Linked DNA regions of Saccharomyces cerevisiae S288C. Changing the gene in region 3 together with the main gene of any one other region gives a genetic interaction. Each region holds a gene or a part of one and is shown on either strand. Other genes may lie near its edges.

Region 1 (8,615 bases), on a different chromosome or scaffold from region 3:
TTAATTCGGAAAAATAAAAAAAAAAAAAAAAACATAAGGAAATTTTAATTAAATAGTCTATCTACACATTTCCTAAAAGAAAATATTATTGCATTACTTTTTTGAAGATCTATAAAGGGCACTGTCTTACTTTTTAAAATCTGACCCACTTGAAGCCAACACAGTATGCTCTCGAAATTATGTAGCAAACAGCGCTTACAAAAGTTGCCAAACCGCAAAAAATAATATAGTGTTGGTAATCGGCCGTTGTCTTGATAGAGATAATGGCACCTGTTATCGGAATGCCGACTAAAGTACCGAAACCGACAACGAAGTACATTGTAGAGTAACGTTTACCGAACTCTTCCGTTTTAGATATCTGGCCACAGCAAACAGGAAGTAAGGAGAAAACGCTTCCAGAACAAAATCCATATAGGGCACTAATAACGTACATATTTGTCAAATTGGTACCAAATGGTAACCAACCAACAAACATGACGATAAATAGAGTGAGTAGAGTTGCAATTGCGACGTTAAACCTACCGAACTTATCGCTCAAATAGCCAGGAACCCATCTCCCGGGTATGCCGCAGACATTTATAATCATAATCAAGGTGTAGGCGTCATTAGCAGAAATTCCATGGCTGGTGGCGTATGATCCATAATAAGTAAGAGCTGAATTAATGGATAACTCACTAAATACCGTTCCCAGGACACAAAAAAGATATTTCATATCCAGGAAAGCCTTCGCATCAAAACATTGCAGAATATAAACTCTGAGTATGTATCTCCAACGTGACTCACCATCTTTGGAATTTTCGATAACATGTGGTAACCTCTCTTTGACTAAAATGATTGACAGAGTTAGCAAAGCCAAATCTAAAAATCCTAAAGTTCTAATGCCCCAAACAAATCCATAAGTTGGATCAGTGTCTGACTTCATAGAGAAGAAACTACGCAACATAATTGGGAAAACGACGCCACCCACACTACCACCAATAGTGGCCATTGCCAATGCAGTACCACGTCTCTTAAAAAAATAGTGGGCGGGAACACTTACTAGGGGACTCAGTACAATACCATTACCGAACCCGCAGACAATGGCAAAGGACAGTATGAAGTGCCAATATTTAGTAGAGTTGGCGGTAGCGAACAGACCGGCTACATGAAAAACCGTGCCCACAATCATAATTGTCCTAAATCCATTTCTATCAAAGTAAGTACCACTAATGATACATGAGGCAGAGCAAACAAAAAGAAACAAAGAAAACAGCCAACCAATGGTAGAAACACTTTCACTGGATAATTGATTGTCCTGTAGATGACTTTCTATGACCCCCGTTGAGTTTAATAAACCAAAGCATGCAATTAGACCCAAGAAGCAACCAAATGTCACAACCCAAGCCTTGAATCCACCCTCCGGGAAGCTTTCAATTTCTTCATTGGAATCTTCTTCTTTGTCACTGTCGTGCGTGCTCGAGGTATTTTCACCCCAATGTGGTTGGCTTTCAATGTCAGTTCCTTTATTTACTTCCTTCTTGGTATACACCTTTGCCGACACCGACGTTGACGCGTAAGAGGCAGTAGTCTCTAATGACTCTAAATCATCAGCTTCTGGATCATAATGTATGCTATCCTCATCTAAATCAGGTTGCCGCAGTTGGTTGGTTTGTTCTTCTGGAACTATAGTGTCTTTAGGCGTTAAACTGTCTGAGCTCATTATTTTTCTTTTTAATCTATAGTAAAATCAGAGCTTTTTAATCGATAGTATGCCCCCGTGATCTTAGTTATTCAGATCTTAGTATGTTTTTACAGATATAACCTATCCTTCACTAACTTTGAAGAGAGAATTGCTATTTGAGAATTTCCAAACGTACATCAAGCAGTTTATATATCTAGTCCCCGTAACTACTGGGAGATCTAACCAAATAGCTTCTTTATTATATTCATTTCTCTGAGCAAAATAGATATTTTTGAAAAATTTTCCTCTAGTTTCTTTTCAGAGATGTCTCTCTATTATTAGCCTCATACAATACCGCCTAGGGCGATTCAGCAGAACAGTAATTATTCCGCTGTATTTCTTTTTCAGGTGCCTCAAACGTCTATAGAACAGCGCGCAGCAGGTTGAGAAAAATGTCAAAAATTCGATCCTTTCCTATCTTTTCTTTTTCGGACGCCAAAGCGCAGTATTCAACCGACGATGTTCGGGAAGCCACCCCCGAGATCATAATAACAGGTGCGTTGTGACTCTATTGTTAACACGAGGGAAAAGATGGAATAATTTTGGAGAAACACAATGTCGTTCTAGCGGGAAAAAAGGGCAAAACCAAAAAACACGGAGTCTGTCCAATATTAATTTGGTTAAAGCAGTTCGTATAACCAAACTTTATTGGCATTGTCCGTCGACTAGTCTATTTTTATTTCTCTCAACCTTTCGAGTACTTGGAAAAAGGAGTAGATCCGCTTTCAGCAATCGAAGCAATAGGCATTAGGGGTAGAGCAATCCTCAAAATCCTTGTGCCTCGACTGTGGGTTCTAGTATGATCGCTATTTTTTCTTATTCTTTCCTAGTTAAAGCAATAGTTGTTCGTTCTATAAGTTTTTCCGCGAGATCGTGGAAATACCTTAAAAAAGACGCGTGTATGGCTCCTGCATGCGAATCTTCTCTTTTGCTTTGTAATCGCATGTGAGATAATCAAGGGATTGTAGCCATTGTTTTCGAAAAATAATAAAATGACCGCACTTTATCCTCCACGGAGCGGAAGGCCATTCCCGTACGCATATTAATGTAAATGAGATAAATAACCAAATAAGTACCGCCACATCGGATTTTTAACCTTGATATGGTGCGGGGGTGGGGTAACAGTTTAGGATCTTGAAGTAATGCTAGCAACAGAGGTAGTAGCAGTAAATAAGATAAAAAAGACCTTCGAGGGTTTTTTTTTTGATTATATATTTGATATAGTACTAAGTGTCCTACCTTGAATGATGGTTTGTACTCAATAGTATTACTTCATATTATGCCTGACGTCCATCTTTTTTGGAAAGCCCCCATTTGTCATAACCGTACAATCCGGCAATTGTCAAGATAACACCAAACACCTGAAAAAAATTTAACTTTGTTTCCCAAAAGAGTGCCACGGATATAACAACAATCCTCTTCATGATGTTTGCTACCGAATAATTAATGGAAGATAGTAAACCGATCAACTGGAAAGCAAGCATTGCTTGGAAAAAATGGGCTATTCCATGAATCGCTACAAGGGCTACTGTTTCTAGCGTTAAATCGTTGATAACGCTACCGCCATGCATTAATTCGCCGGTTAAAAAAGGTAATAGGGTTAAAGAAAACCCAATGCAGGAGCAGTAGAACAATATGGTAATCTTATCCACTTGCAATGGAGAAAATCTTGTTTTGTCTAGACTCGGTTGCCCTTCCTTCGACGTGACGTCATCCGTAGAAGAAGACGGCAGTATTCCTACCTTCCTTCTGATGGTTAAAATATTCTTTGCAAAAATATTCTGTGCTACAAATATTATCATGGAAATAAAGGCAAAAAGCAACCCGATTAATGAAGATCCGCTTTTGTTATCTGAAGCCCTCTTACTGCCATGTGTTGACCAGCAAGTAGTCATAACGCCAAAAATTAAAAGTAACAAGGTATAATAAGTCATGGAATTGTAATAACGATGTTCGAAAAATTTATAGTAGCCAACTGTTATTATTGGGGATAATGCCTTCACGGAATGCACTAGTGATACTGGTATCATAGATACCGCCTTGTGCGATGTGATATGACCAATAAATTGGAATATTCCCATAGGGAAAGTGGTCATCAAAACCAGCTTTGAGGGAACTAAAAACTTGTGCAGGATAGAACTCCTGAAATTGCCATCGAGATATTCAGGAAGGATACCGTCAGGGAAACTATTGAGTGCCTTTGAAAACTTCGTATGCTTCAAACGAGGTAGTCGGAATAAATTTACGATGGAAGCAAATCCAACACATAGAACAGCACTAACAAGAAATTGCAATTCTGTGAGAGCTATGGGATGGTTGAAAGTTCTTAAAATGGCTTTAGATAGGTTACTTGAAATAGATGACGTGACGTACCATATAGAACAAATAATGGTTATTCTTAGGTCAACTTCAGGTAAGTACCCTTGTATATTACTAGGAAATAGTTGCGTGAATCTTTTTTTAAGGCTAGTAATATCATATCCAAAGACTTGATTACTGAATGTCTCCTTACTGTATTCTTTTTTTTGGTGTTGGAACCCCCCACGTGGTGGTTCTGGTATTTGATACAGTGATGGATCAAAGAGGTTTTTATGAACAGAATTACGTCGTTTGATCGCTGTACTTTGCGTTTGAATCATGTTAGGCCGGTATTGTTTCTCCTTTATAAAAACGAATGGCTCCTTATTAAACACTTTTATCGTCAATCCACTTACTCTCTAAATATCGTAAGCTTTGCATATATAAGCATATAATAAAAATAGTTGGTATATGCTGCACGTGTAGTCTAATGTTCTTTTCTTTTTTTTCTTTATTCTTTTTTCTCCTCTTTATGAATACAGATATTCAATTTTTTGAATATCTGATTGTTTTTATTTTCATTTCAATTTTTTTTTTTTTTCAATTTTTTTTATCCGATCGTTGCGCCAAGCTTCTATCGCTTAAAACAATGACACTTCGCTGTGAAATGACACAATGGCTTGAGATTCAGGCACAACGCAAAAGGTCTTTACAAATGTATATCACAGAATATTAATGTTTGAAAAGTACTTCCGAATTCAAGGCCACCACGTAGCCTTATACACCAAATACAATTATACACAGGTTTCAAACTTGAGAAAAACAAGATATTGAATATTAAAAGCTGGGGCTAGTAGAATTTGCTGATTAGGTTAATTGTCATCAAATTCAAACAAACTACCATTTTCAGGGGTATTTTTCCTTGCTTCAATTCTGGATTTCATTTTTGCTCTCTTTTTCTTGTTGCTTTTTGTACCATGAAATTTCTGTGACAGTTTTTTATATGCCTCCTTAGTAGTCAGTCGATTTCCCTTTTCGTCTCTGTAAACCAGTTTTATGTCAGGATCATAATGATCTTGTCTTTTTGAATGAGTATTTGCATTGGAAGAGTCACTAGATGTGAATTGTTCCAGTCCGTGTAGCTTATCTTTTGTATAAGTGCCAGTGCCCGTATGCTCTTTATTTCGGACATCCCTTCGAAGTGATTCACTATTATTAACATCCTTTCCTGGTTTCAAATCGACGTCTCCTGTGGTGAAAACACTCTTTTTCCGAAGATATCCTAGTGTTGATGCAAGACCAGAAAAAAAGTTCGGTGCATTTTCAGCATCTCCCTCGTAGTTTGGTTCATTATTAACTGCTTCAGTCAGTGTATTGTTTCCACTCCCTTCCTTAGTATGTCCATTGGTAACATCTCCGATATTTTTCTCTCCTTCACCATGCACTTTCACTTTATTCTCAGTAGCACTTCGTTCGGAGAGACTGGTATCCAAAGTATTTAAAAAAGTTACCTTTTCGTCGACGACAATACTGTTGGAAATTTCACGCATTTTCAAAATGCTTTCAGTGCGTCGCTTCTCTTCGTCTCTTGCCTTTTCAATTTCTCTAGCGAGGTCCTCTGGCCCTTTCAATTCATTGTTTGAGCTTGTTCTGGGATTTATTATGGTGACTGGCTGTTCTTCTTCCATCCAGGATAAACTTTCATCTTCATCTACTAACTTAACAATTTCCATCTTATCAGTAATTTTTGACTTCCTAGCTTTAGTAGATCTTGGGTCCTTGATCTTACGTTTTTTAATTTTTAAAGGTTTAAAGTCTCCACCATCTTCATCTGACATATTATTTGCGCTATCGAAATTCACTTTAACTTTTCCCGTTGGTGGTTTTGCTGATATAGTATTCGGTGCCTTCATAACACCCTGTTCTGCTCCGATGATTAGATGTGTAGTTGTAATTGAGTGTTTCTCTCCTTCTTCTTCTTCTTCAATATCTAAGCTAGATACATTTAAAATTTTTTTTTTTTGTCTTCTATCTTTATTCATTTGTCGTAATCGTAGTTTCTCTCTATCAGCGTTTTCCTCGGCAGCTTTCACATTCTCTAACACTTCGGTAGAATCAGTATCATCAAAAATACTGCTCTCTTTCAAAGTTAGAATCGTATCTTTCTTTGGGCTAAGCGCCTCGATATTATATGATACTTGAACATTATGCAGATCAATATTTTCGTCTTCCTTCGTGGCGCCTTTTCTTGGCAATGTGCTGGAACGTTTGGATTCATGTGAGGAAGGAATTGCATCCATGTTTTCTAGCCATGAACTGTCGTCATTTACATTAGTTTCTTCGAGAAGGTGCGCCATTCGTAAAGGAGCGTTCGCCTTTTTTTGAAACTTTGTTATCTTCTCTCGAAGTTCATCGATTTTGGATGTGTTATGTACATTAGGGGGAGAAGAATTGAAATTTTGTTGGGGTGGGATAAGTTTTAGGCCAAGGGACGCCCTCAACTCATTCGTCTCTTCGATTGACAAAGACTCTTTATGGTCTGTATTCTTTTCTTGAAAAACTGGAATAGGTTTCATACCCAGCTTTTCCCTTATTTCATTTGTCTCCTCAATAGAAAGGTTTTCCGTTTTGTTCATAAATTAATTAAGGGTTGATGTGATGATTGCCTTTTTATTAATATCAAATAGTAACGATTGCACCATCTCATCCTTTGCTCACTTTCAAAAATTTTGTATATCTTTTTCGTCCCGCGAATAATTTTAAGTTGCGCAGTTCACGATATGAATACCTATAACTGCTAATGGTACAAATTTTTTAAAGGTTAAACAAAACTTTTAATGATATAAAGTACCTAAAACTATGTAAACATAAATTATGTATACTATTTCAAATATATCACCTAAAAAAAATAATAAGTTCAATTCAATATGGGCGTACAGCACTAATTTACAGATTATGGAATAAAATATGAAATGAGAAATAGGTTAAGCATTGGATAATTATAGAAAATTTTCTAAATCCAAATAAAAGGGAACGCGAGGGGTCACTAATTATTAAAATGTAAAATGCATCCTTATTTCTTCTCTTTCTTCTCTTTCTTGGACTTCTTTTCCTTCTTCTCTTTCTTCTCTTTCTTCTCCTTCTTTTCCTTCTTTTCCTTCTTTTCCTTCTTGTCCTTCTTTTCCTTCTTAGCTTTTTTAGAATCCTTGGAATCTTCATCATCGTCTCTCTTTCTCTTCTTTTCTTTCTTTTCTTTCTTTTCTTCCTCTTCATCATCAGAATCGGATTCAGAATCAGAAGCAGCCTTTGCGGTATCAGCATCTGCATTGTAGGCCCTAGCTTCAGTCATTTCCACCTTCTTAGCCTCACGAACAACCTTTGGAGTAGTTCTTAAATCTCTACCTTCTAATTGGGATAATCTATTTTCTACTTTGGCTCTTGATTCTAGACCAATGTCACCTGAATCGTCTCTATCTTCAGCTAAAGCATCATAACGCAATGAGACAGCGGCCTTAGCAGCCAGAACTCTTGCAATCTTACCTTTGTTCTTACCAGTAGCTTGACCAACAAGAGAGGCATGATATAGCAAACCATACTTTGGTGTATCATGCTTGGTCTTTAAAGCTCTGAATAAAGCCTTTTCGGCACCTAATATTTGGATGGTAGAAGCTGGTGATTTGGCCAAGGAAATTAAGGAACCTGAATGAGCGATAAGTCTAGCACCAACTAATTCACCAACCAACTGAGTCAAGTTTGGAGCAATAGCCTTCATTCTTGCAGACAAGTAATTGGACAACTGTTCTCTGTAAGCGGCAAATTCGACTATTTGTTCAGCTAAAGCATTAATGTTGTCTAGATCGGTTTGAGTGATTTCAGTACCCATAGACACTTCAGCAGCGGTTTTGACACGTTCTTCAATCTCTTCTGGTAAGATTTCACTCAAATCTGTTTCAGAAGCCTTGGATCTGATACCCATTGTTAGAATAATTCTCGCATAAGCGACGGAATCAGTAACAATCTTAGCTAACTCAGGAAAGTGCCACCCGTACCATTCTTTACATCTCATGGCATATGTGTTTAATTCTTTATCTAAATCATCCAATAAAGCAATTGCTTGAATAATCATAACATCAACTTTGTCAGCAGAAAATTTTAATTTGTGACGACCGATGGAATGAGCTAAACCCAAAGACATCTTGCTTAGATCATTATCAGACATACCTGGCAGCAATTCTGGCAAATATTCTTTGATAGCTCTATAGATATCTAAGGTTACAGCATCGGAAACAACATTGAAGTTCAATCCCAACTTATTAATAGCGTTTGCCAGTTTAGTTTCACTAACAATCAAGGTCGACTTCTTGTCCTTTTTAATTTCTTCCAGAAGTTTTTCTAATTGGGAAGAAACTTTACCTTCAATAATGGAGTTGGCTTCCTCTAAAGCGTTAGCTGCAGAGTTGAACTTGGAAAAGGCGGCGATCTTGAATTCCTTCAAGACTTTGTCAGAGCTATCCAAGTCTTGAATTAAGCTTGAAGATTTGTAGATTTTCTTATCGGAAGCTTTTAAAAGAGCATAACCAGCTGAAGTTTCAGTTAA
Region 2 (8,299 bases), on a different chromosome or scaffold from region 3:
ATCAGGTGTTGTATACAAATAAACCAAGGTGAAGAACTGGGAGATATCTTATGTTTTTTACCGGGCCAAGAAGAGATTGACAAAGCAGTGACTATAATGGAGAAAATTGCAAAGTATGTTTCAGATGAGGCCCCAGTACCATTAATAGTTCCTTATCCTTTATATGCAGCTCTTCCCGCGGTCCAACAGTCCTTGGTCTTCGCTCCGATAAAGGGTTTCAAGAGAAAAGTCGTCTTTAGTACCAATATTGCAGAAACATCTGTTACCATATCCGGTGTTAAATTTGTCGTTGATTCTGGTCTTCGAAAAGTCAAAGTTTGGAGACATCAGCTGGGATTAGCCACTCTACTTACCGTACCCATTTCTCAGGCAAGTGCGATGCAGAGAAGTGGTCGTGCTGGTAGAGAAAGTGAAGGAAAGAGTTTCAGGCTTTATTGTGAGTCTGATTATGTGAAATTACCTAAACAAAGTGAACCTGAAATAGCCAGAAGTGACGTCACATCTCCTGTGTTAATGTTGAAGAGATATGGTGTTGATGACCTGCTAAACTGGACCTGGTTTGAGAACCCTGGAAAGGAAGCTATAGTAATGGGGCTTCAGGAACTTTATGAATTGGGTGCTCTTGACACTCGTGGAAAGATAACTAAACGGGGTCAACAAATGGCTCTGTTACCGCTACAACCGCATTTAAGTAGTGTCTTAATTAAAGCCAGTGAAGTCGGATGTTTGAGTCAGGTCATTGATATCGTCTCTTGCCTTAGTGTGGAAAATTTACTGTTGAATCCGTCACCAGAAGAAAGAGATGAGGTGAACGAGCGTCGTTTGTCCTTATGCAACGCTGGTAAAAGGTATGGTGACCTTATCATGCTGAAAGAGCTTTTTGATATCTATTTCTACGAACTAGGGAAAAGTCAAGATGCAAGCTCTGAAAGAAATGATTGGTGTAAAGGATTGTGTATTTCGATACGTGGGTTTAAAAATGTAATTCGTGTCAGAGACCAGTTAAGAGTTTATTGTAAGCGTTTGTTTTCTTCAATCAGTGAAGAGGATGAAGAATCCAAAAAGATTGGTGAAGATGGCGAGCTAATTTCGAAAATTTTAAAGTGTTTCTTAACTGGGTTTATCAAGAATACAGCTATAGGGATGCCAGACAGGTCTTATAGAACTGTTTCCACTGGAGAGCCGATAAGCATTCATCCATCATCTATGCTATTTATGAATAAAAGCTGCCCCGGTATAATGTACACGGAGTATGTCTTTACTACGAAGGGATATGCCAGAAATGTTAGTAGGATTGAACTTTCATGGTTACAAGAAGTTGTCACTAATGCAGCCGCTGTAGCAAAGCAAAAAGTTTCTGATTCAAAATAAGTCACCTACTCTTAGCGCATTTTTATTGTATATAAAGGCATTTAATGTAATTTATAGAGCATTATAAATCGTAACAACTACTGCAGTATGAGTTTCATGGATTCATTTCTCAATATCTTATGAATATACACAGGTATATATGTATATTCATGTTAAACGCCTTTCGAATTGTTCGTTGGCTTTTTTTGTGAAATTATCTCGGGAAAAGGGCGAAATTATATTATTTTGCCGTTGACATTTTGAAAAGGAATAAAAGATCATGAAAAAAATAAGAAAGGCAATTCGACGCATTTCTCTCAGCAAGCTATTCTTTACTTTTGAAGAACAAAATATTTTAGCAAAAAGGTTAAGACAATATAGTCGGAAGCAGTTCTGCGGGATCTGAAGGAATTGCGGAATAATGAGATTTCACGATAGTATACTTATCTTCTTTTCTTTGGCATCGCTTTATCAACATGTTCATGGTGCAAGACAAGTCGTTCGTCCAAAGGAGAAAATGACTACTTCAGAAGAAGTTAAACCTTGGTTACGTACGGTTTATGGAAGTCAAAAAGAATTAGTCACTCCTACGGTCATTGCCGGTGTCACTTTTTCTGAAAAACCAGAAGAAACACCAAATCCATTGAAACCTTGGGTATCTTTAGAGCATGATGGTAGGCCAAAAACCATTAAACCAGAAATCAACAAAGGTCGAACCAAGAAGGGAAGACCTGATTACTCAACTTACTTCAAAACGGTAAGTTCCCACACATATTCTTATGAAGAATTGAAGGCTCACAATATGGGCCCTAATGAAGTTTTTGTAGAAGAAGAGTATATTGATGAAGATGACACCTACGTCTCCCTGAATCCTATTGTCAGATGTACTCCTAATCTTTACTTCAATAAAGGTCTAGCAAAGGATATCCGCAGTGAGCCATTTTGTACCCCTTATGAGAATTCTAGATGGAAGGTTGACAAGACTTACTTCGTTACTTGGTATACAAGATTTTTTACAGATGAGAATTCCGGTAAAGTTGCTGATAAGGTTCGTGTTCATTTGTCCTATGTTAAAGAAAACCCCGTAGAGAAGGGCAATTATAAAAGAGATATCCCTGCAACTTTTTTCTCTTCCGAATGGATTGATAATGACAACGGTCTAATGCCGGTTGAGGTCAGAGATGAATGGCTGCAGGACCAATTTGATCGTAGGATCGTTGTATCAGTTCAGCCAATATACATATCAGATGAAGATTTCGATCCACTACAATACGGTATTTTATTATACATCACTAAGGGTTCAAAAGTGTTTAAGCCTACTAAGGAGCAACTGGCTTTAGACGATGCAGGTATAACAAATGATCAGTGGTATTATGTTGCATTATCTATCCCTACTGTCGTGGTGGTATTTTTCGTCTTCATGTACTTTTTCTTATATGTCAACGGGAAAAACAGAGATTTCACAGATGTTACTAGAAAAGCTTTAAACAAGAAACGCCGTGTTTTGGGTAAGTTCTCGGAGATGAAGAAATTCAAAAACATGAAAAATCACAAGTACACCGAATTGCCATCTTATAAGAAAACCAGTAAACAAAATTAGATTCCCTTCGAAGTATGCATTCACCCTTCCTCGAGAGGGCTGTTTTTATCTTCCGTCACACTAATAGAAAACCACTCTATCCAGTTTTTTTTGTTACTTAACTTATCTTAACTCGATATTGTATAAATACTGAAGTCCATATACTTCTTTTTTTCTCCTTTGGATAGTAAATACGGTAAATTAAAATTAGTGTAAACTGAACAATATTAACATATATAAATCATCTGTACGACAATTTGATACCAAATAAATAGAGAATGCATCAGCATCCTCCAGGGTTCAAAAGAAAACGCTGGATCTTGCTTCTTTTCCTTTGATTTCTCCTTATATCCATTTCTGTCTTGCAGCAACTTCACATATTTTTTCCAGTGTAATGACCCTTGGATCAGGCTTAAAATGACGCTCAACCACATTATCATCTCCTTCCACATTCCTGCTAAGTAAGCTTTCTTCGTCGCCCTCGCTATTGTCCACATTATCTTCATCTTCATCATCATCTCCGCCGACGTCTTCAATGTAGTAGAAAAAGGGTTCCAACACCAACATAATTTTCCAGAAGTTGTTCGTGCCACAATTAGCAAACAAGACATCTACAAGGGCAGGTAGGTATTCCAATTCAATGTACTCCTCTGCGCAACAAACAAATTCATCTAATTCGTAATCTTGCTCATCAGCAGATAATGTAGAATACATTTCTGATAACAACGTTAATTCTTTGCTAATTGTTTTTGGAATATCTTCTCGAGCTTGCCATAACAGCTTTTGCGCTCTTTCCAGTCTTTCTTGGCTAACGGCATCATCCTTGCTCTCTTTTTCGCCTTTATCACCTTGGACATTTTCGGAGTCTTGTAGAGAAGGCAAGAATCCGTTCTTTTCGCTTTTGACCATAAGCTCATTGTATTCGTTATAGAGGGAGATAATTTTCATCATAGGCTTGTATAATTGCTGACAGACTTTCATTTCCGAGTAAGGTACAATGACTTTTTCCAAATAGTGATTGATCAGTCCTTCCATGAAGTTTGCCCAAATTGACGAAAATACATAATCCTCGTCGTAAGTCGATTCCGTAAAATCTTGGTTGATGTTATGCTGTATGATTTGCTCTGTAAGAGTTGGGAAAAGGTTTTTATGGCTTTTGACCATTTCATCTCTCAAAGCAGTAGATCCAGCGCTATCTGCTCCTTTAGTAGAATTTTCCAAACTATTATCTGTTGAAGACGCCTCTGAGTTCTTTTCACCATCTGTCTTATCTAGCCAGTATTCCGGACCACCCTTTTCAGACAATGTCACCAATAAAAGGAAGAGTTTTACTTTAACCCACGGGTTTAGCGAGTTTACATAGGCGTCCGTAATTTTGCTAACATCGATATTTATTTTTCTATGGATGCATTTGATAAATTTTTCAATGTAATGTGATTTTTTCAATCCGTATTTTTCATTCAGATATCCAACCGAAGTGATTACGTCGTAATTTGTATTTTCCATGTTCGTATGCTTCAAAAAGTTGAATGTTAACTTTCGTCTATTTCCATAATGTCTTTCTCTTTTCTCCTCACCTTTCTTCTTTCTTCTAATCTTTTTTTCTTTTGAAGCACCCAATTTAAGACATCTTTTACAGGTACAGTCCTTTAACGATGGCTCGTTGGCCGCTTGCTTGGGCAATAAATCTTTAGCCATCTTCTTTGGCGCGCTATACTAGGCTTGATTTATAATGTTAGTTATTCCAAAAATGTGAAGGAAATTGATCAAGGCAAGCTCTAATGATGATTATTGACCCATGCAACAAAAAAAGTTTGAATTCTCTTAATTTTCCAGATCGCAAGTTAGTAGTCAATCTGCTAACTTTCGTTATATTTCAAAAAAGTAATTGTACAAAAAAAGTCACCAAAAACGAGGACTTTTTTCACTGCGTTAAAGATTAGATCTACATAATGAATACTCAATTCTTTACTTAATTTCGCTCTACAAAATAGACCATTTAGGAAAGTTGGGTTGCTTCCATCATGTCAAAGTCGTCCTCATCTATATAAGTACACAGAACAGTGCGATCGTTGAATTGCGTACCCGGCAATTCTTCCATTGCGTGTTTTGCTGCCTCCAAGGTCTTGAACTTGATATAAATATTACCGGCTCCGGAAGCCAAGTTTTCAAAATTAAGTCTGTAATCGACGCCGGGTTGGCATATTTTAATCGTATCTGCTCCCGCGATACTATACTTTAATGTTTCTTTAATTTCTGTGATAAAGGTTTCATCTTTCAAATCCAATGGATCAAGACAATTTAAGAGCAACAAAACTCTCGATTCAACACGAACAGATTGGGTAACCAGATTTGGCAGGCTTTGAAACGTAATCCATGAAGTAACTTGTGATATCTTTCCATCATTTGGCTTGAACCATTTGTATGGTTTTAATTTATCAAGAATATCCTGAGTGACGACTTCAAACGATAATAGAATACATTTAGTGAATTCGGATTCTTTGCCAGTGTTGTTTGTATTGGACGAACATTTGTAAAAAAGTGGCTTAGCGGTACCGTTTGTTACATTCAATGACGAAAAAAGCTCTTTCATTCTATAATCTTCACCCTCGCCTATATTTTCCAAATTTTCCAATGCAATTACCGTACCCCTGCAAAAATCGACCAGATGATCAAGTTGTTGAACATAATCATTAGGTCTTCTCCATTTTAAGTCGAAAGTACCAAGCTTCGCATTAAAGAATGATCGACAGGCCAAAACCATAGTGCTACAGATCTGAGAACTAAACTCAACAATAATATGGTCCGGCCTTCCTTCACCAATATAAAAGTTGGAAATTTTAAAGTCCTCCGCATTACTCTCAGTTTTCTGGAGACCTGAAATAAAATTTTCCAGCAAATCTTTCAATCTTGCTACAATGCTGGGGTCGCTGCTTTGAGACAAGCCCGAAATTACAAGCCTTGAATTTGCCTTGGATGAGGCCATGTTGTAGTAAGCCGGAGAATCGAATGATGAACCCGGGTACATTACATTTTGGGAATTATAGTTCATGTCATATTTATTAGTTTGCAACTGCCTTTTATCACGGTCGCCATTGAATTTAGAACCTTCGTTCTTCCTTTGGTAATTGAAACGATCGTAGTTTCCGTTTCCATTTCTTCCCCTTCTATCGAACCTTTCATTTCTTCCTCTTCTTTCATCCCGTTGCCTATTATAGGGATTGTTGTTCCATTGGGGCCCAGTATTGTGACTACTATACCGATTCTCCCTGTTATATGATCTTCCCGATGCATCCCGATAACTTTGACGATGAGGACCTGCCCTTGTTTGTTCATAAGTCGTTCGATTCGTGCTCATAGTAATTATTGACGATGGTCCTCTGTTATTAGAATGTGAAACGTTTCTACTTTTTGGCGCTTTCGGAAGCTCACCGTCACTTTTTTGCCTCTTAAAATGTGTATCTATAACTGCATTATCCGTGTTGAATCTTTTGTTCTCAATCGGCACAACATCCTTTTCTGATTTTCCTATAGACTCCATTATTTTGGATCTCAAATCCTCCAGTCTCTTTTCATCAGCCATCTCCGTGTGCTTGTTTTCTGTGTCAATTAACTTTCCTTTTCTACTTCTTTTATATTAGCATGTACAGTTTAATTTCTCATCTCGAATTTTTTCAGCACTTGCTAATTAGGCGCGCGCCTCAAATATATAATATCGAACACGCTGTTATAAAAGTGATCCATTCTACAGCGTAATATTAACAGTATCGCTCCTGCAGTATTCTGGCATTATTAGTGCAAATAAGTACGCATATTACCATGCGAAACGTTTTAAGGCTTTTATTTTTAACAGCTTTTGTTGCTATAGGGTCTTTAGCAGCCGTTTTAGGTGTTGATTACGGTCAGCAAAATATCAAGGCCATTGTGGTTTCTCCGCAAGCCCCATTAGAACTTGTGCTCACACCAGAGGCAAAACGGAAGGAGATATCTGGTCTTTCGATAAAAAGATTACCAGGTTATGGAAAGGATGATCCGAATGGGATTGAAAGAATCTACGGTTCCGCTGTTGGCAGTTTAGCAACAAGGTTTCCCCAAAACACATTGTTGCATTTGAAACCGCTACTTGGGAAATCACTAGAAGATGAAACCACTGTAACTTTGTATTCAAAACAACACCCCGGTTTAGAAATGGTATCAACAAATAGAAGTACCATAGCCTTTTTAGTTGATAATGTGGAATATCCATTGGAAGAGTTAGTGGCAATGAATGTCCAAGAGATTGCCAATAGAGCCAATTCACTGTTGAAGGATAGAGATGCAAGAACTGAGGACTTTGTAAACAAGATGAGTTTTACAATTCCTGACTTTTTTGACCAACATCAAAGGAAAGCACTTTTAGATGCCAGTTCAATAACCACAGGAATCGAAGAGACATATCTGGTTAGTGAAGGGATGTCTGTTGCAGTTAACTTTGTATTAAAGCAGCGCCAATTTCCACCAGGTGAACAGCAGCATTATATCGTATATGACATGGGGAGCGGTTCTATTAAGGCCTCAATGTTCTCTATATTGCAGCCGGAGGACACTACTCAGCCCGTTACAATAGAATTTGAAGGATATGGGTATAATCCACATCTAGGTGGTGCAAAGTTTACAATGGATATTGGCAGTTTGATAGAGAATAAGTTTTTGGAAACACACCCAGCCATAAGAACTGATGAATTGCACGCTAATCCCAAGGCCTTAGCAAAAATCAACCAAGCAGCAGAGAAGGCAAAGTTAATTTTAAGCGCCAATTCTGAGGCAAGTATTAACATAGAATCACTGATCAACGATATTGATTTCCGTACTTCTATAACTAGACAGGAATTCGAAGAATTTATTGCAGACTCGTTATTGGACATTGTCAAACCCATAAATGACGCTGTTACAAAACAATTCGGTGGCTATGGAACAAATTTACCTGAGATAAATGGGGTCATTTTGGCGGGAGGCTCTTCCCGAATTCCCATTGTGCAGGATCAATTAATCAAACTCGTATCCGAAGAAAAAGTGTTGAGAAATGTCAATGCTGATGAATCAGCTGTGAATGGTGTTGTTATGAGAGGGATCAAGTTATCTAATTCGTTTAAGACCAAGCCGTTAAATGTTGTTGACCGTTCTGTAAATACTTATTCATTCAAATTATCAAACGAATCTGAACTGTATGATGTGTTCACGCGCGGAAGTGCTTATCCAAACAAAACATCTATTTTGACAAACACGACTGATTCGATTCCTAATAATTTTACCATTGACTTATTTGAGAATGGTAAATTGTTCGAAACTATCACAGTTAATTCAGGAGCTATAAAGAATTCATATTCCTCT
Region 3 (4,617 bases):
GCTTACTTTAGTTCTAAGCTCATCGCATATTTCAAAAATTTTCATTACCGTACAGAGATATATTATTTTGATGCGGGTAACTATTAGCCGCTGAAATAATATTTTCTTTTTTTTTTTTTCTTTTGGCTTTGAAATTTTTCACTTTTAGTCATCGCTATAGTTCGAGAAATTTGAAATACAAGAAGTACTAAAAAAATAATAAAGGACAATAAAGTGCTAGTAAATAACAATTATAAGTGATATCAAGGATGTCTGAAGAGAATTTGAGGCCTGCCTATGACGATCAAGTTAATGAGGATGTCTACAAGAGAGGCGCTCAGAGCAAATTGACCAAAGCTCGTAAGGCAGACTTCGACGATGAAAAGGACAAAAAAAAGGATAATGACAAACACATAGATAAAAGACCAAAAAGCGGTCCTCGTTTGGATGAAAATGGCAATCCACTTCCCAAGGAGCCTCGTCTCCCAAAGAGAAAGGTGGCTGTTATGGTTGGTTACTGTGGTACTGGCTACCATGGTATGCAATATAATCCACCAAATCCAACCATCGAGTCTGCCCTATTCAAAGCATTTGTTGAAGCAGGTGCTATTTCCAAGGACAACTCCAACGATTTGAAAAAGAATGGATTCATGAGAGCTGCAAGAACTGATAAGGGTGTCCATGCTGGAGGTAATTTAATATCATTGAAAATGATTATTGAAGATCCTGATATCAAGCAGAAGATCAACGAAAAGTTACCGGAAGGGATAAGGGTATGGGATATCGAGCGTGTGAACAAGGCGTTTGATTGTAGAAAAATGTGCAGTTCACGTTGGTACGAATACTTATTACCAACTTATTCACTCATTGGCCCCAAACCTGGTTCTATACTTTATAGAGACATCGAAGAAAGTAAAACAGAATTACCTGGTGTATTAGATGAAGATTTGGAATCCAAAGAATTTTGGGAAGAGTTTAAAAAAGATGCGAATGAAAAATTTTCAACAGAAGAAATCGAAGCTATATTAGCATATGTTCCGCCCGCAAGAGATGAATTTGATATAAATGAAGAACTATACCAGAAGGTAAAAAAGTACAAGCAATTAGAAAATGCTCACCGTAGAAGATATCGTATATCCGCGGCAAAACTGGCCAAATTCCGTGCTTCTACAAGTCAATACCTTGGCGCTCATAACTTCCATAATTTTACATTAGGCAAGGACTTCAAAGAACCAAGTGCCATTCGATTTATGAAAGATATAAAAGTATCTGATCCATTTGTTATTGGCGATGCCCAAACAGAATGGATTTCCATCAAGATTCACGGCCAGTCTTTCATGCTACATCAAATTCGTAAGATGGTATCAATGGCAACCTTAATTACCCGTTGTGGTTGCCCCGTCGAACGCATTAGTCAGGCTTACGGACAGCAGAAGATTAATATTCCGAAGGCACCTGCATTAGGATTATTGTTAGAAGCTCCAGTATTTGAAGGTTATAATAAAAGACTAGAACAGTTTGGTTACAAGGCGATCGATTTTTCCAAATATCAAGACGAAGTGGATAAGTTCAAAATGAAGCATATCTACGATAAGATCTACAAGGAAGAGGTGGACGAAAATGTTTTTAATGCGTTCTTTAGTTATATTGATAGTTTCAACAAGGTTACTGGAGCACAGGGAGAAGAAACTGCCGATAAATCGGGACCTGCTGTGCAAAAGAGTATCTTCGAATTCTTGACAGCTAAGGGTATCCCAGGTCTTACTGATGCGCCCGAGAGCAATAAGAAGATTAAGCAAAGAAAAAGAATGGAAGAGGAGGAAGCTGCTAGTAAAAAGGCTGAAATATCCAGCACCACTCAGAGCAACGAACCTGAAGTACAACCGGAAGCGGCAGCTAATTAGGTTGCCCTTTCCTTCTTTCTTACCAACTTTAATTTCTAAGGCATTGACATTGAAATTGACATTGTCCTCTAATGTTTATAGAGCACCATTATTTGTTTTCGTTTTATATATTATTATATAATGGCACAGAATAATTTATAATTCTTTTTTTTTAAGTCATTGAACAGTCGCACTAACCAAAAGATTAAACACCACCAGAGAGTAGTTTTTCCAGCCTGGCAATCTCTTCTAAAGAAGTAGCTTCTGCTAACTGCTTTTTCAATTCATTTCTTCTCTCTACTGTCATCTTACTCACCACCAAATTCATGATCTCCATCGTTTTATCTCTGGATCCATTATCTCTTATTGCAGTATTTACTGGGCCCAACGTATCGCCGTCCGCCTGCCTTGGAAAGCTCATTGCGCTCTTTCTTTCCTCAGCTGTTACGTTTTGAAAGTCTAAAGTCTCTAAATGCGGTACTAATCGAAGTACATGTTCTCTATAATTGGCTAAATGACATACTTGATTCCCTATTAAAGTTAGATTCTTCAACGTCCTGGGCGCTCTACGCAACCTTTGAAGATCTTCAAACCTTCTTATGCTGTTATTCGATAATGTAAGGTTCTGTACATTCATAGGCAATAGGCGACCGTCTACTTCAACGATATTGTTTCGGCCCAACAGTAATGTATGTATATCGTCTCTTCTTGATAGATCTGGAATCATGATAAGGTCATTGTTTGTCAAATCCAAGATGTGCGTAGGTTTGGTCAAATGCTTTAAGCTGGATGGCATGGATTCTGAATCCGTTTCTAGCTGCAGGTCTCTTAAAATAACACATTTATCCACGTTATACTTGCCATTAAAATGATCAACATAATATTGCGGAGCATCAATAACTATGCTAGGGGTGAACTTCATTATTGCTTATAAAAACTGATATTTTCCAAGTCCTGTAGTTTCACTTCGACCTGTTGAAGGCTTGTTGGATGCAGAGTATGCGATTGGCCTAATATAAGTAAATGTCATCTATGATAAGAAAAAGACTAATAGGGCTTTTTCCTATAATTAACTAGGGTCTGTCGAAAATCAACTTTGAAAACCAGGAACAAAAAAAAGATAGATAAGGTTTATTTCACTCTTTTAGGGCAACATAATTTATGCATATTATAGGAAAAAGGCAATCGTAAGAACCTATTTAGCAGGTGTAACAAAATCAATACTACATATATTTATAGCGGCAACGCATCCATTTACTTGTGGAAGCGCCTAGTTTTCGATCTAACCATGGTTCTCAAGACCAAATCACTCTGAAGCTAAATTATTTAAATCAAACAGCGGAAATGGTATTTACTAAGGAAGAAGTTGATTACTCATTATATCTGGTTACAGATTCTACCATGCTTCCACCGGGAACTACTTTATGTTCTCAGGTTGAAGCTGGGTTGAAAAATGGTGTAACGCTAGTTCAAATCCGTGAAAAGGATATTGAAACAAAAAATTTCGTTGCAGAGGCTTTAGAAGTTCAAAAAATATGTAAGAAGTACAATGTTCCACTTATTATCAATGACCGTATAGACGTCGCTATGGCAATTGACGCCGATGGGGTTCATGTGGGCCAGGACGATATGCCAATCCCAATGGTAAGAAAACTTTTGGGCCCTTCTAAAATTCTTGGATGGAGTGTTGGTAAACCTTCGGAGGTAGAGACATTGGCTAAATGGGGGCCAGATATGGTAGATTATATTGGTGTTGGTACTCTTTTCCCTACATCAACAAAGAAAAATCCTAAGAAATCACCCATGGGTCCTCAAGGCGCCATTGCCATTTTGGATGCTTTGGAGGAATTTAAAGCTACATGGTGTAGAACCGTTGGTATTGGTGGTCTTCATCCTGACAATATTCAACGTGTGCTTTGTCAATGTGTTGCTTCAAATGGAAAGAGATCGTTGGATGGTATCTCTCTAGTCAGCGATATTATGGCCGCTCCAGATGCATGTGCAGCAACCAAGAGGTTGAGAGGCTTGTTAGATGCTACCAGATACCAATTTGTTGAGTGCGAGTTAAATAATACATTTCCGACCACAACTTCAATTCAAAACGTTATATCTCAAGTATCAAACAATCGTCCATTAGTGCAACATATCACCAATAAGGTTCATCAAAATTTTGGTGCCAATGTCACTCTAGCTTTAGGCTCATCTCCTATCATGTCTGAAATTGAAAGTGAAGTATCTGAACTAGCAAGAATCCCAAATGCTTCTTTACTGTTAAATACCGGATCAGTGGCACCTATTGAAATGCTAAAAGCCGCAATTAATGCTTATAATGAAGTAAATAGACCCATCACCTTTGACCCGGTCGGGTACAGCGCCACTGAAACAAGGCTCTGTCTAAACAACACTTTGCTCACTTACGGCCAATTTGCTTGTATAAAGGGCAATTGCAGTGAAATACTGTCTCTAGCCAAGTTAAATAACCATAAAATGAAGGGCGTCGACTCTAGCAGCGGCAAAACGAACATCGACACACTTGTGCGCGCTACACAAATTGTGGCATTCCAATACAGGACTGTTGCTGTTTGCACGGGTGAGTTTGATTGCGTTGCTGATGGTACTTTTGGAGGCGAATACAAACTTTCATCAGGAACAGAAGGAATAACCGCTGAAGATCTTCCATGTGTAATAATTGAAGATGGCCCAATTCCTATCATGGGTGACATCACTGCAAGTGGATGTTCACTTGGTTCTACAA
Region 4 (8,549 bases), on a different chromosome or scaffold from region 3:
TCTAGGAGATTCTATATTATTGAAACTTGCCTGAATATCTTCATATGTTATTTTTAGCGTTGCAATATTATTGATATTTTGAATACCGATAGCTGGAAGGAACGGTGGTGGAAGAGTGTTGTCATAAAGGTTGTATGGAAAACTGTGCCTGTCTGAGTAACTTGTGGAGTCTTCATCAAAAGACCCTTCTTTGAAACGATTGTAATAAAGTGTACCCAAGTTTTTTAACTTGTTTGGATAGTGTTTCTCAGTGAAAGCAAGAACCGACTGTGAACTTACATTAGGCAGGTCGTAGGCCGAATTTCTGCCGTTTTGGTAATGCATATACTGCTCTGGAAAAGAATGGGTGTTGCTTTCTTGTCCCTCCTCTTGCTTATTTTTTGTTCTCGCCGAATTTAGTAGTGTTTCCTGTAGTTTATATATCTGGGATTGAGTCTCTCTGTACGCCCTATTAGGATCTTGTTCGCTTACCGACATTTTTATCTTATATTGTATTGTTACTTCTCTCAAAAAAAAAACTGCGAGTAAATTTTCCCTTACCTTCGTACTAAAATACCGTTATTTGTCAAAACGCTGTCATGGAATTCTATAGCACTTGATGCCGGAATGGAGATGCTTATTCTTGTGTTCTACATTCATGAAGTGCTGATACTATATTTTGTTTTCCCGAACCTCTCCCCTTCTGGGCCCTTTTTCCATTATTCACAATATTTTCATACCTTTACCTCCGTACACCAATCTTTATTTTTACCCCCATACCTTTGTATTCTGAAATTGAGAAATGATTTGTGGTGCTTTTTTTTTTGGACAATCTGCCTTCGTGGACAGTTTTGAAACGCTAGGCGACAGTTTTGCAACGGAAGGAAGTGGGAGAGCCCAGAAAGGCTTTCTCTCGATGGTGGATCATTCTTGCGCAGGCGGAGGATGGGAAAGCTCCGTTCAGGTTTGCGGCTTTTCTTTCTGGCATTTTCGTTCTCCCAACTGCGCAGGCAGACATAGCTTGACTTTACTCATGCTCGCATTAGGCGGGTTGAATCTCATAGCTTGAAAGATAGTATTGAATTATATTGAAGATTTTATAACTAGTGATAATTTCATTCAAGTTTTAAAGAAAGAATTAATAAGCAAACAGAACTCAATCAAAGGAAAAATGGCCGGTTTGAAAGACGTTGTCACTCGTGAATACACCATTAACTTGCACAAAAGAGTATGTGAAAGAATAAAAATATAATGCCCAAGGGCTTGTCATCTGAATGGTTAATTAAGAAGATATTTCTATAGTCAAGGAATACAATATCAAGAATTTGTACCACAGAAACCTATCAACAAAGATCATTGATCAAGATATATTTTATAATACGGAATTTGAAGACCATAATCAATATTATAACATCCAAGAGGGGAAAGATACACTTCGGCTGGACTTAAAGAGCGATGAAGACAGAAATAGTTATCTTAAATAGTGGAATCCTAGATTTTAAGTCGACAATTATCCATATCCCAAGTTTGACTAAATATGAATCAGAACAAATTGGGTCTCCAATATACAAAACCATTCATCAAGATTACACTAATATTAAAATGAACAATCGTTACTAACAAAAAATTTACCATTTTATTTTTAATAGTTGCACGGTGTCTCCTTCAAGAAGAGAGCTCCAAGAGCTGTCAAGGAAATTAAGAAGTTCGCCAAGTTACACATGGGTACTGATGATGTCCGTCTAGCTCCAGAATTGAACCAAGCTATCTGGAAGAGAGGTGTCAAGGGTGTTGAATACAGATTAAGATTGAGAATTTCCAGAAAGAGAAACGAAGAAGAAGACGCCAAGAACCCATTGTTCTCCTACGTTGAACCTGTCTTAGTTGCTTCTGCCAAGGGTCTACAAACTGTTGTTGTCGAAGAAGATGCTTAAATCAATTAAATAAAAATAATACTCATTTTATATTAATAAATATAAAGTAAACATTTTCGATTTGTATAAATCTCTTGTACTCAAGCCAAGACTTCTGTATTCATTGAAGCGGGGCACTCAGATCAATTTTTATCAATGATATCATCTGCTACGCTTGTACAAAGGGTTACCTTCGAATTATTTAAAAGATGCAAGTCTACGTATAAGTGAAGGCGATAAAAATGGATAAATCAGTGTAACTATGACTATAAGGTTATGTTGGCCACTCATCACATTAAAAGACTCCCAATATTCTCCAACAGAAACGAAGTATACCGTGCGTCTGATTATGGTCCACCAGAACGATGAGATCATAAAGACACAAAGTAAATGAGAAGTTTTACAATATTGAAAAAATACTGTAAAAGGATGGTCTTAAAAAGTAGTTTTGAAGTACTTCTGTTCTTAATAGACCAACGGAAAATTAAAATCTTCATCATTAAAAGTCCATAATTCATTCGCTTTCAGCAAAACATAGAGCAGCAAGAAGCTAAAGAAATGACAAGAACTATCGGCAGAGTGAACTCACTATACCATTAATCTTATCACCCGTTTATAAATCTATTCTTGTCCTTTCCAGTTGATATGATTCTGCTATTATCCTTGTTCCCCCCAAGGACTGCAGTAGAAGAGTTATGTTACAAATGTTGATATATATATATATATATATATATATATATGTATGGACATTTGTGATGAAAATATATCTTGAACAAGCGCGATTAAGGTCATAATAAAAAATCACAGAAAATTTTTCAGGTCGCGGGCGTTCTCTCACCCGGCCGCCCAAAGTATTATATGAATCTTTAGGGCTTGTAGGAATTATCAGCATGATATGTACAATTAGAGTTTTTCTTTGGAAACATGCGACAGTAGACGTCACTCTTTGATTCAGAAGTTAGGCTAGGATGTACGCAAATAAAATAAAAGCAATGACAAAACTAGATTTACATATATTATATGTATATGTATGTGGAGGATATAACACAAACAGTGGAAAAGTGGTAGAATAATTAGTATTACAAGTGCACTGTCAATAAATCATTGGAACTGAATGCTTTGTTGCATGTAGGGCATTTTCTCATTCTCGCTGCCAATCGTTCCTTACAGCAATTCTCACAAAAGACATGGCCACAGGTTTTAATAGCCATGTTTTTCCAATTTTTAGAACACAGGGAACAATAAACAAGTGTACGGAAATTTGCTAGTTCTTCTACGAGTGCTTCATCGCTCGAGCCCTTATTTTTGTTGTTACCACGGAACAATGTATCATGTAGTTTTTCACACTTGGATTCTAGATGAGATGCCTTCTGCTTGAAGTGCTTCAATTCTATTTCTGTATCATTTAATTTAGTTTCTAGATGCGTCATATCTGCAATGCTTTTGTTACTTTCTTCTTGTAGCTTTTCTAATGACCTTTTCAGTTTAGTGGATGTATTATTTAAATCAATTATTTTTAGTGTCTCTGTTTTACTGGAATCAATTAACCTGCGTTCATTATTTTGAGAAAGATCCAGTTGTTTATGTAAATTTCCTATTTTTTGCTGTAGCAATCTATCAGAGTCCTTTAACTGTAGAATAAGCTCATTTGATTTACTGAGGCTTTTAGAAAGAGTTTTGATTTCAATTAAAATTGAATCTTTGGACCTCATCGCGGCAAAATATTTCTGATCAGCCTTAGTTTTTTCTACGGTAAGCTTGGATATAACAGATTCGTGATTAATAATCTCAGAGTACTTTTTATGAGTTAAGTCGGATAACTCTCTAAAACCCTTCTCTAAGTCTTGAATTTCCTTTATTAATGCATCTTGAGTCGACGAGGATTTTGTATCGTTTGATCTTTGATCAATTTTTGTCCATTGCTCCTTCAAAATATCAATTGCATGTTGTAAATCGCTCAACACTTCAGTCTTGGATTTTTCAGCTTCCAAAATGGCGATTTTGCTTAGTAAATCATCACGAGCCGTTCTTATTCTTACAACGTCCTTTTCCAATGAACTGTTCATTTCTACTAGGGAGTCGAGACTTTTCTGGAATTCTTCTCGGACCTTCTTCGTATATATTTCTTTCTCTTTGGCTAAAACTTGAAATTTTGATAAAAAGGAACTATTGATCTCAGATAATTCTGCGTTTTGTTCAGTCAAATGTTGAATTTTTGCTAACAGGGACTCATGGTCATATGACTTGAAATCTGGGTCTTGGTCTGCTGCTGCTATCTGTTGCTTTTTTAAATTGGATACCTCAGAACGTGTTTTGATGAGCTCTTCCTCGTTTTCCCTTCTGATATTTTCAAGGTCTTTTATAGTGGAACTCAAGGAGTTTATCTCTGCCCGTAAATCAGAAAATTTCAGATCCAATTCTAATTTTTCATTCTCAGCATCTTCTTTTCGTTCATCCTCCGCCTGCACAAGTTCATCACCTTTCTCGGATTTTTTGGATGTATTATCACCATTAATTGCAGAGGAGTCTTTATTTCCAGATTTTATATTGTTTTCATTAGATTCTTTTTCATCTTCCCGTAATTCCTTTACAGCATCAGTCTTATCTTCCTTAAAAACACGTTTTATAGTAAAGGATTCATCTCTATCATACTTGCGAATTATATTTGTATAATATTCCTTCAAAGCAGAAATCTCCTCTGTCAATTGCGAATTTTCATAAAAGAGCTCCTCTTTACTTTTCCGCAAGTTTTTTAACTCCGTTGTTAATTCTTGAATATGATCCGAAGCATTACTATTAGTATTACTATCTGTCGTGTTTGGCTTCCCATATTTAGTCAGTAGCTTCATGAAAGAATCACTGCGCTGAACTATCAACGTCTCATCGCCTTGGGCTATTTCCCTACATAGTTGCTTCTCGTTGGCGTCTGTGCAGAATGTTTCGATAAACCTAGCTAAAGTTACTATCAGCGCCATAATATTTGCCAACTTGCGGGAAACATCTATGCACTCCCTTCTTGAAAGTTCATATTGCTTTCGCAAGGCTTCAAAGTCGACTCTTCGACGATTTATACATCTAAACAAAGCTTCTTTTTGAAACGCTATCACATCAGATTGAGTAAGCGGTTCACTAGGATCGCTTAATTCTAGCTTGATCTTCTTAGTAGCAGGCTCGGCCGTCATATCTGATTATTATCAGCTAGCACGATTAGCATAAAAACGGTGAAAGCCCTTTCTATCTCTGTTAAAAACCTTGGGGCGCTCTCTGTTAGTTTACCGTTCAAACAACATCCATCCAACTTTTTTTAATCTTCTTCTTTTTTGTTTTTTCGCCTTCTTTAAGAAAGTTTCGTTGGATGTGATTATAATCACGTGATCAAATGCTTTTGTCACTTTTATATAATAACGATGGTTTGATCAAAGTACGATCAGTTGGTGCTTCATTTCAAAGTTAGAAGACATCCTTAGTGCCTATTGTCGATCTGCTCTTTCTTTTTGAATCCACTGAAATTAACGATCTCAGAATTTCACCAGTGATTTTCCCAATATTATCTTTCGTGGGTAGAGAAACAATTCTGAACTCGATTGTGCTTCGTATGCTATATACGCATTGTTGTAGCACTAAAGATCATATTGCTCATTAAGCATGGGTCCTGCCATACATAATCAACTATATGAATGTGGATTAAAGACTACGTCTCAAGATGGCTTCTTGATGGACAATTATGAAACTCAATTATTTCAATCGTTGAACAGGTTTATCAATTTCATAAACAATGCTAATCAGTCAGCTAGTAATAAAGAACAAAATACAAAATTTTGCAAATCCTCCTCAAATTTTTTACGCTTGAAACTACTAACGGTTCTAAGACAATGGTGTGATTCTTCACGAAGCAACTGTACACTGGAGGTTAGAGATGTTTTGACCCAATGGTGGGTCACACTTTTAAACTTTCTAAATTCTGACACCTCGCTTCAAATAGATACTGCCCTTGAATTGAGCTTGAGCATAGAACTAACTTCCGTGTGTCTCGAGTGCCTCAGCAAAATTATGACCATACTAATAATATTGCCTTTCCATTCATCCAGAGACATGGAAATATACTCACATCATCTTTTGCTGACCATTCATTGCATAACAAACAAGTTGATTTTGATTTCTAAAAACTCCAAAAAACTTAAACGTACAAATAGTGATGACAAGTGCTCTATAAACGACAAGAAGCTGCAATACCTTAACAAATATTCTTCCTTGCTGCGAGCATTCATCGGGAAGTTAAATGCTTACGCATTTTTTTATCTACCAGAAGACTTTCATTTCGATACAATTTTGTTATTGACAGTTTCTCCTCAAATCTCTTCAAGTATTCAAACATCTTTGTTTTCATGGAAGAAGAGACAATATAAATTCACCGACGATCAGGGACAAATGATCCGCACTGAAGCTTTTGAAAATAAAGATACTAAATTTTTTAAGATCATTGTTTCTTATATTAAAAATGATTTTGTACTTATGTCATTTTATTGGCACTATTGGTATATCATACTTCAATTTATGAAATTCTCTGATTCAGATGTAGGAATTAAAAAATCGACATTGTCATGCATACCTGGCTCAGAAATTTTATTGACGCATGTAACCACTAGATTCTTGAATTCAGATTTGAATAAATTCACGCGGATTATTAAACAAACGCCGAATCCAAGGATAGCAAATGAGAATGTGACAGAGTCACATCCAAATTTCAAGAGTTTGAATAGTAGCAATGCTTTAATTACATCTGAAAGGATTAATGATTACGTATTTTCTAATTTTAAGACAATCAAATTATGGGAATGTCTTAGAAGCCTTTCAGGATGCATTCTTAAAGAAAATCATCCGGAATACCTGGAAAATATGCTTTCCTTACATGAGTCTCTATTGATAGACTATGTCTCCACTATTTCAGCGTACGATTATATTGCAGCGAACGTCATTTACAATAAGGTTCTCCAGTTTATTATTTTCCAGTTTGAAAGTTTACCTTCTCTGAAATTCATTCAATGGAGGTCGTGGTACAATGGGCTTTTGAGTATGTTAAGGACCAAAAATGTTAACTGCCAGACTGTTTCTTTATTATGCCTTTTCAATATTTGGAAGCACGTAACCATTGAGGACCGCGATGAAATAGTAAAAGTGCTGTTAAGTGATTTTTGGGAGTCATTGATTTTTGAAAACGAATTTCCTTTGATTAGAATTTTATTTATGAAGGTATTAGTTTTTAAAATCATTCCAAGTGTTCAAAATTCTTCTTCATTACGATTCTTGCCACATGATAGAATTAAACAACTATATGAAGAGCTACTGGTAAACAAGGAGGAGTTATTTGAGATGCAAAAACACGATTCAAATGATATAGTGGCGCATAGAAAGAATGCTCTCGTTTTTAATGGTAACTCACGTTTGATGATGATTCCAAAAAAACCAAATACAGAGGACCACTTAGTTTATAAGATTAATCATGATAAAAATTTAACTACAGAAAGATTTCCCTCTGTCAGCTCAGTGGCAAATACAAGACCTAACGTTATCTTGAAAAATGGTAAATACGCTTATGATATTTTGGACGAAATGACAAGTAAAGCTGCCTTTCTTCTTGCAGAAAAGAAGACCCGACTAAATCCCAAAAAAAATCACAAAATTATGGATGGCTACGAAGGAGGTCAGGAAAACGAAGATAATGATGAAGACTCAGAAGATAGTGGCTCGCATAAAAATAAGAGAAAGGAAGGTAATAGTTCTTTATCGGCAACACTGAACACTTGGCTTTCAAAATTTTCAAGTACTTCTGAAGATTCACAGAAGAAGAAGGAACAGGCAAATGAATTAGGCAACGATTTTGAATATGATGAAGATGTGGCTGATTTTGCAGAAATTTTGCCGAAGCAGTCATCTAGTAATATTGAAAAAATTTTTAAGCATGGTAACAATTCAGGATCAATGGTATCATATAATTCAAGTATCAAGCTCAATAGGAGGGAGAATATATTGATAGGTCCACCAGAGTTGAGATTTTCTAATGAAATCAAGGAACACAATAGTATTGCTACAATATTCAAACTGGTATTTATTCAAACCAATAGAAGAGTCGTCGAAAAAATAGATTTGGCGAACATGAAATGGGGGACAATCCACGGAGGCAGTAAGTACATGAAGCCTTTACCCGTCCCGAAAGATTTGGTTGCGAGTGTTGCTAAGAACGAAAGTGAGACGAGAAACTTAGCTACCTTATGCGGTAATGGTCTAGATTTTGAGATACCGGTGCCTGATTTTAATATTTTTGGCAAATGTATGGAAGATGAGCAAGATGTAGCCAAAATTGGTAATCAGAATGTGGAAGATTTGAAAGTTACTGGGGGGCGGGAGGTGACAATTTGGAAGCAGATCCAAGATATGAAGTTGAGAACAAGGATACAAAAAATCTGTGTTTTAATTGAGACGTTCAATGCTACAGTAAGAGAATATTTTGAGTTTTCCAATCGATTAGAGCATGACGGTATATTTATAGATTTTGAAGTGAGGAAACCTAGTAGTAATAATTCTATTAATATCAAAGTCTGAATAATAGAATGAGTTACATACGTAAACGTGTAGTATTATTATTATTATTCTATTTCC

The links.
Region 1: mutations in LEA1 (region 3) and SNU66 together harm fitness more than expected from each alone (negative genetic interaction), as found in Saccharomyces cerevisiae (4 studies listed by BioGRID, with this or other methods).
Region 2: mutations in LEA1 (region 3) and MUD2 together harm fitness more than expected from each alone (negative genetic interaction), as found in Saccharomyces cerevisiae (5 studies listed by BioGRID).
Region 4: mutations in LEA1 (region 3) and BRE1 impair growth when combined (synthetic growth defect), as found in Saccharomyces cerevisiae (6 studies listed by BioGRID, with this or other methods).

The regions. Positions count from the first base shown.
Region 1 is NC_001147.6:889,734-898,348, forward strand, and holds SNU66 (U4/U6-U5 snRNP complex subunit SNU66), read right to left. Parts: upstream 6,655-8,615; coding exon 4,891-6,654; downstream 1-4,890. Other genes in the region: RRG7 (Rrg7p), read left to right, coding at 1-17; MCH5 (riboflavin transporter), read right to left, coding at 134-1,699; SLY41 (Sly41p), read right to left, coding at 2,998-4,359; RNA-processing protein NOP58, read right to left, coding at 7,092-8,615. UniProt on the Saccharomyces cerevisiae protein: Component of the U4/U6.U5 tri-snRNP particle, one of the building blocks of the spliceosome. Required for pre-mRNA splicing.
Region 2 is NC_001143.9:289,682-297,980, forward strand, and holds MUD2 (Mud2p), read right to left. Parts: upstream 6,513-8,299; coding exon 4,929-6,512; downstream 1-4,928. Other genes in the region: DHR2 (RNA helicase), read left to right, coding at 1-1,371; PSG1 (Psg1p), read left to right, coding at 1,772-2,950; AAN1 (Aan1p), read right to left, coding at 3,275-4,627; Hsp70 family chaperone LHS1, read left to right, coding at 6,749-8,299. UniProt on the Saccharomyces cerevisiae protein: Splicing factor that contacts pre-mRNA directly and is a component of the pre-mRNA-U1 snRNP complex (commitment complex 2) that forms during early spliceosome assembly in yeast extracts.
Region 3 is NC_001148.4:148,781-153,397, reverse strand, and holds LEA1 (U2 snRNP complex subunit LEA1), read right to left. Parts: upstream 2,785-4,617; coding exon 2,068-2,784; downstream 1-2,067. Other genes in the region: pseudouridine synthase PUS1, read left to right, coding at 249-1,883; THI6 (bifunctional hydroxyethylthiazole kinase/thiamine-phosphate diphosphorylase), read left to right, coding at 3,207-4,617. UniProt on the Saccharomyces cerevisiae protein: Involved in pre-mRNA splicing. Associates to U2 snRNA in a MSL1 dependent manner and is required for normal accumulation of U2 snRNA. Required for the spliceosome assembly and the efficient addition of U2 snRNP onto the pre-mRNA.
Region 4 is NC_001136.10:321,076-329,624, forward strand, and holds BRE1 (E3 ubiquitin-protein ligase BRE1), read right to left. Parts: upstream 5,075-8,549; coding exon 2,972-5,074; downstream 1-2,971. Other genes in the region: RXT3 (Rxt3p), read right to left, coding at 1-477; 60S ribosomal protein eL31 RPL31A, read left to right, coding at 1,151-1,207, 1,629-1,913; AHK1 (Ahk1p), read left to right, coding at 5,538-8,492. UniProt on the Saccharomyces cerevisiae protein: E3 ubiquitin-protein ligase that mediates monoubiquitination of histone H2B to form H2BK123ub1 in association with the E2 enzyme RAD6/UBC2.